Linked DNA regions of Oryctolagus cuniculus. The protein of the gene in region 2 interacts with the protein of the main gene of each other region in a pairwise test. Links are inferred from orthologs where the notes say so. Each region holds a gene or a part of one and is shown on either strand. Other genes may lie near its edges. The genes, in order: ASF1A and PRR3.

Region 1 (2,792 bases), about 88 Mb from region 2:
AATGCTGCCCCACATTACATTAATTGTAATAGTAACCATAAAAGGCTTCAGGGTGGCCTGAAAAGGACAGATCCTAAAGTCCTTGGTAGCATATAATTCATTTCAATCCCCCTTTTAAAGTCATGCCAAAAAGGAATGGAAAGTTTCCCCTTAAATTAAAACCACACTTTATGTTTTAACAGGAAGAAACATCTTAGTTGAAGTGAACTTTCTTTTTTCAAAGGCCAGAAAAAATAATGTTCCAAAGATTACTGTCCGAGAGGCTAAGACATCTTCACAACCTGGTCTAAGGATTTATATTTTTCTTTATAAGTGCTTTAATTACATATAAAGGAGAAGAAAAATAATATATATGCTTTAATCAAATTAGTTTCAGAACAAATAAAATAACACATTAGAGAAAAAATTACTTAAAAATAGTTGTATTTATATTCCACAATTTGCTCAAATACTGGTTTTCTTATAAACTTTCTACAGGATGTTTTTAAACAAATTCTTCACATTTTGTCTTGACTATGTACTTACGGAATTTCAGGGAAATAGTTCTGTGTATTTTTAATAGCTTAATTTGTACTAAAGGGATGGCAGGTGGTCACATGCAGTCCATGTGGGATTCTAACATGACATTTAGTGAGTTTTCTGACGTGGACCATCCCTTTGAGGCAGAAGGTAATGCATCTGTTGACAGAAGTGACTGTAGATTTGGATTACTGCTCTCTGCATCTTCCAGTTTTTCTGTGTTGTCTTCCCAATTAATGTGGAATCTTGTGACCCTGGGATTAGATGCCAAAATGTTCCTTTGAAGCTAGAAGAAGGAAATATATAAATGGTAAACATTACCAAAGTTTAATCACCCTATGCAAATAGATACTTAAAGAAATGGGTCCTTTATGTTAGCACTCCTGAAGGGTTACGTTCATATACAGAAGTATAGGACAAATAAAGCACTTTAGCATAACTAATAAACAAGGACTAGGACCATAGCAATTATTTTGGCTTAATAGGAACAAGATATGGAGAATCTGAGGGAATTCATTCAGATCTTTTACTATACTATGAAATATCTATTCTTCTACTCTTGTACTTCTATTTCCTAAGAAGGGAAAGAAAATTTCTCCCAAATACATCTTCTTGCTATTAGTGATTTCCTACCTTTTAAATATTATGGTTCATTTTTGGAAACAATAGTCTAGTTTCTTCTCTTTTCTGTTGTACAAGTTACCAAACAGATAACCAATAAATTTGATCTATGAAAGGATTGGCCAGGATGAAAAACATTCTAGCCTTATTACCAGAAAGTTGAACTTTATTCTACTGCCATGTGACTTTCCTTGTATTGCCTGGCAGACAGAGGGCCCTATTCAACTTCACTTGATTTGCACCCTCTCAAAATCACCAGTTAGTAAACTGTTACAGTTCCCAATGAAAAACCATAAAGGTACTAAGTATCCTTGAGAATAATGAATCACAGATTTCAGCTTCTCAGTGTTTAAGCTATTTGCTATCACCTGAAATATTTAAGACCTTTACTTTATCTGCTGTTCCTACAGAATAAAACTAAAGCATATAGGTACTTTGATATAAGCATAGATAACTGTTTATATGAAAAGCAGACACAAACACAGACTTCCATGTCATAAAAGCTGAAGTGAACATGATCTATGGGAAATGCCATATAAGAAGCAGTAAACAAGTGCCCATTTCTTATCAGAGATACTTAATGACTTGCATAGAGAAAGGGTTTGAGGTCACCCATGGTAAGGGAACAATGATTAGTTTGCCCAGCTGGCCCAAAGACATCAAATTTACTTTGTCTCAAACTGCCTAAAAAATTGTATAGTAACAGTAATTAAAAAGGAATAGTAAGACATTACCTTAGAAAAGTCTGGTTTTACTGGCGGATTTTCCCTTAATTCTGTCTCAGTATATTCATTATTTACATAGTAGCCAACTCTAATAAATTCTTGACCTCGATAGGTACAAGTAATTAGCACAACTGTTACGCCTACTGCATCAGCATCTGGAATGAGTCCTGGATTAGGTGCATCTGCCTGGAATAATTTAAAAGAAACATACACAAAAGGCTGTTAATGGCAGGCGAGATTGGAGTTGTAGTTACCCTGAGCACTTTCAGTTGAACATGGAACAAGAAAAACTTGGAAATCACATTGGGAAGACAAATGCTTACATTTGGGATTGGCCTAAAGGTAGATATATAGCTCATGTTTCTCCACAGTATCCTCAAGTAGCTTCATTAAACTTCCAGAGGGAAATAATTCTGGTTACTGTGTGTGTTGGTTCATGAGGAATTATGCAAATTCATTATAACTTTTTATAAAATACTTAAACAATTTAATCAATAGTGCTATTGGTTTTAACTTTTTCCAGTTATAATTTTCAGACCTAAATTAGTAAATACTAAATTATTTCCACACAACCAGTTGGCAACAAATGTTTTTTATACCAGTTTTCCTTTTCTCCCCAGGACACTTATATTCTCGTACCTATACAACCACCTCTCACAAATATTCTAATAGTAATTTAGTATAAAACTGAACACAAATAGCTACACAGCAGATTTTTGTTTTTCTTTTTAAAAAGATTTTATTTATTTGAGAGGCAGTGTTACAAAGGGGAGAGAGAGAGGGAGGGAGGTAGGAGGGAGGGAGAGAGAGAGAGAGAGAGAAAGTAAGTCTTCATCCGCTGGTTCACTCCCCAAATGGCTGCAATGGCCAGAGCTGGGCTGATCCGAAGCCAAGAGCCAGGAACTTCTGGGTCTCCCAAACAGGTGC
Region 2 (4,382 bases):
GACCCGCCAGCAGCCGGCTTGCCCTGGACGCCCGGGGCCAGAGTCCCCCCTCCACGCTCACCGATTCGGGTCGTAGCCCCGCGGACCCAGGCCCTGGGAAGGCTGCTGATTAAGCCTGCGGATGTGATGGGTCACAGACTCCCCGTCCGAGGTGTCAGTCTGCTCCTCCCGCCGCTCCCGGCTCCCGCTGCGGCTGTTGGAACTGGAGCGCAGCCCATCTTGAAGTCCTGCGGGGAGGGGCCGGTGACGCCAGCGCTGGCCGGCTCTCAGGGGCCATAAGACCCCCCCCCCACGCCCCCGCCCCGGCCCCAGCCCCGGGAGGCCTGGCTCCCCTCCACCCACCCAACTTCCTCCGCGGCTCGGCCCTCCCAGCCACGCGCCCCAGGACCCCTCCGGATGTGCGCGGGGGCAGTCGCTGCTCCAGGGAGCTGCGGGAACGGCTTCCCCTCCCCCAGCTCCCCATCCTCGCCCACCCCTTCCAGCTATGGGGGAACCCCTCCACGGCCGCCCGCGCACCTCGGCGCGCGCTCGCCGCCCCCTCCCACGCCCCCTCCCCAGGTGCAGCGGGCACACCCCTCCCTCAGAGGTGCGGGAGCCCGAGCCCCGCCCCCTCCGCCCGCTCCCGCACTGACCTCGCTTCCGTTCGCGCTTGTCCTGCAGCTGCTTCTTCTTCTGCTTCACGCTGAAGGGCTTCTTCCTCGGCATGGCCCGGACCAGTCACCGGGCCCGCCCCTCCGCCGAGCTCCCGCCGCCTCAACTGACTCCCGGGGGCAGCCCCCGCCGCCAGGGCCCGGGACCCTCGAGGAGGCGGGGCTAGCGGGTGACGTCACGGACGGGCCGGGCCGGCCGGCGGCGACTGCCGGGACGGAAAGCAGACACGGGGTGGTCACGTCTCTCCCGGAGCGAGGCGAGGGGCTGAGGGGACGGGGCAGGCGGCCGGCACGTGAGAGTCAGCGGCACCGGCGGGGCGCAGCGGCGGTGGAGGAGGAGGCGCGCGTGGGAGGATCGGGCCCGCTCCGTCACGGACGCTACCAACGGGCGCCCGCAGGAGGGGGGGCGCGTGTCATCACTACCTTGCGCTCCCGGGAGACGCTACCACTCACCTGGCGGGGGCGGCGGAGCGGAGGGCGGGCCCAGCTACCTTCGGAGGGAGGGGGCGGGGACGCGCCGAGGCGACAGCACCGAGCGGGGATTGGCCTGGGTGGAAAGCGGAGACGGAGCACCCCGAGAGGGAAGCCCGCTTGCTGGCGACTCGTGGGGCACGGCCGGAGGTCTTAAGGGGCGGGTGGCGTTCTGCCGGTTCCCGGGCGCGGACCTGCTGGGACCCGAATTTCGATGCTAACGGGCGGGTCTGCAGATCCCAAGCGCGGGCGGGAAGGGAGACCCAGGTGGGACAAGGACTTTTGGAGGGAGGTCAGAGGGCACCGAGTTGTGCCTGCGGCTGTTCCCATGGTAACAGGGCACCGGAAGTGGCGACGTTAGGACGCGACAGCCCGCTCTCAGGCCGTCCGGCCCGGAAGCCCGTGGGCTCTGCAGCACACTGTGGTGTTTCTTGGCGGAGGAGAGGGCACTTGTAAGCACTTGGAGAGATGCAGCAAAGGTAAGGTTTGAGGTTGCCGCCGTGCCTAGCAGAGCGGGAGCGGGGCGGTTTTCGGGCGGGTGCGGCCGCGGCAGGGGCTCCCCGCTGCCTCCCGGAAGTGGAATGGCGGGAGCCTCAGCCCCGCTGCCCACCGGGCTCCCCCCGGAAGCGGAAACAGCTTCCAGCGTGCCCCTTCCTCACTGCCCTCCAAATCCCGCTGCAGCCATTGCCGCAGCCACGATGCCGAAACGAAAGAAGCAGAATCCGCAGCCGCCGCCACAGCAGCCCCCACGGCCCGAGCGGGAGGAGACTGGAGACGAGGAAGATGGTTGTCCCATGGGTAAGGGAGCGCACGTTCTCGGCAGCTGGGCCAGGCTGGGGCCAGGGACTAGGCAGGTGCGGGGGAGGGGGCGCTCACGGAAGGCGCGAGGGCGCACGCGCAGGGGAAGGGGCTGTCCTGCATGCAGCTTTAAGCCAGGAGTTTACTCACCTGAACTCCTGGCCTTTATCCGGCCCCCAAACCTTTCTGGAGGAGGCGGGGGAGGAAAAGCTAAAGTGCGGAGTGCGCAGCCGCAGGAGGAGAGGTGCGCGATGTTGCAGGCTGTGGCGGGTGGGAGCGCAGTCTGAGATCAAACTAGGAGGGTAGAATGCAGTGCGGCCGCCTTTTAAGCACTCCCCTGGGGGAGGGGGAGGGGAAAAGAGCTGTTTGATTGGCCAGCAGTTCAGGTGGGGGATTGAATTAGCCCTGGAATTACCTAGGATGTTGTGGTTGCACCAGTATGAGGGAAAGACAGTGGTCAGCGTCATTCCTGCATGACCGGGTTTCCTGAGTCTCTGCTTTCTAGCAGAACATGGAAACAGCTTGGCAGAGGAAAGGGCCCACAGATGGGGTGAGAATGTGCAACACTGATGATACATAGCTCACTTCGCTGATTGAGTTAAGGAGTGCATTCTAGAAGGACATCTGAGGACAGGATCATAGCCCATTCTGATGACGGTATTTTCATGTCTACTCTTAGGACCACCCAGCCTTCTGGGCCCTCCCCCCATGGCCAATGGAAAGCCTGGTGACCCCAAGTCAGGTGAGGAGGAGGGGACCCGGATCCTTGTATTAGATGCTGGAGAAGGGTGCAAGAGGAGAAGTGAAACCTAGCAAGAATTTCACATCTTACAATCCAGGATTCGATGCCTAAGTGAATGGAGAGAAGTTATGCATTCACAGACTGGAAAAGTCATAATATTGGCGTGAAAATGCAGGGAATCAGGGTGAGAGACTGTAAAGACAGTGTAAGTGAGAGGGCTACTCTGAACATCAAGATTTTTTGTAAAGCTACAGTGGTTACAGCTGTGACTTTGATGCAACAGAACAGATTAAAAAGGCAAGTAACAGGCCCACACATAATGAAAGTGCCTCAAAAAATTGATGGAAAACAGTTAAAACATAAGTTTATCTTGGTGCCTAAAATTTTCAAAGTGCATGCATGGTTTTTTCCTAATATGTGTTTTCTGTGAATTTTTTGACGTCTTCGTGTGTGAGCTCTTCATTTATAAAGATAGAACTGAAAAAGTGGTCTTTTCGATAAATGATGCTAGATCAGTTGGATAGTCGTGTAGGAAACGAATGGAATTTAACCTCCTCACAGTCTTAAAAATAACAGTACTAGTTGGACTGCAGATCTAAGTATAAAAGGTAAAAGAAAAATTATTGTAGAAAGTAAGTGTATATTCTTGGTCTTAGAGTAGCTAACAGTTCTTAGATGAGAAATACACATACACAAATTATAAAGAAAAGATTACTATATTCAACTACATTAGGTAACATAAACTTCTTTTAATCAGATGACATTGATTAACAGGAAGCCATAGAGTAGAAGACGGTATGTTCAACAAATATAACCAATAAAGAGCTCTTATCTGGAATATAAGAAGAACTCTTCCAGACAGTTCATTAGAAAAATTGGCAGAAGACCAGAACAGATTCTGGAGATCTTAATGGACCCAAACTGTGTGAACTAGTAGTCAACATCATTAGTCATCAAATACAGAATGAAAATATACCACGTTGGAGTTGGAACTCGTATGCATTATTGATGGGATTGTAAAATGGTACAAGCACTATGGAAAACAATATGGAATTTCTTCAAAAACTTAGAACTGCCATATGATCCAGTCCCACTTGTGGATATATATCCAAAATTATTGAAAGCAGGGTCTTGAGGAGATGTTTGCCCACCCATGTTCGTAGAGTATTCCCAGTAGGCAAGACCTGGAAGCATCCCAAATGTCCATTGATAGAAGAATGGATAAGCGAAGATAAAAGTACAATGGAATACCTTAAAAAAGGAAGAAAATGCTGTCACATAACTACAACCCAGATGAACTTGGAGGACTTTCTAAGTGAAACAAGCCCGTCACAGACAAATGCTGTATGATTCCACTTACATGAGGTATCTCAAGTCAAACTCATAGAAACAATAGAATGGTGGCTACCAGGGGCTGGGGGGCAGAGGGATGGAGGAAAGGGAATTGTTTAATGGGTACGGAGTTTTAGTTTTGCAACAGACAGTTCTGAAGATCTGTTTCACAACATGAATATACTTAACACTATTGAACTGTACACTAATACATAATTAAGATGGTACATTTTTAATATTTTTTAACCACAATAAAAGGCAAAAAACAACTCACCACTTTTCACATTCACCAGAATGGCAAAATCAAAAAGAATGATCATAGCAAGTGTTAAGCCTGTGTGATAATTGCTGGTGGGAGTGTAAATTGGTACAAACATTTTATAACAAAG

What was found.
Region 1: the proteins of PRR3 (region 2) and ASF1A interact in binary tests that used the Homo sapiens proteins (3 or more experiments, as listed by UniProt). The two-hybrid records come from large-scale screens. The link is inferred for Oryctolagus cuniculus from reciprocal best matches to the Homo sapiens genes PRR3 and ASF1A.

Annotation. Positions count from the first base shown.
Region 1 is NC_091436.1:51,459,660-51,462,451, forward strand, and holds the end of ASF1A (histone chaperone ASF1A), read right to left. Parts: intron 2,052-2,792; coding exon 1,875-2,051; intron 806-1,874; coding exon 593-805; downstream 1-592. UniProt on the Homo sapiens protein: Histone chaperone that facilitates histone deposition and histone exchange and removal during nucleosome assembly and disassembly.
Region 2 is NC_091436.1:139,856,681-139,861,062, reverse strand, and holds the start of PRR3 (proline-rich protein 3), read left to right. Parts: upstream 1-1,306; 5' UTR 1,307-1,600; intron 1,601-1,802; 5' UTR 1,803-1,819; coding exon 1,820-1,919; intron 1,920-2,598; coding exon 2,599-2,661; intron 2,662-4,382. Other genes in the region: GNL1 (guanine nucleotide-binding protein-like 1), read right to left, coding at 62-227, 633-705.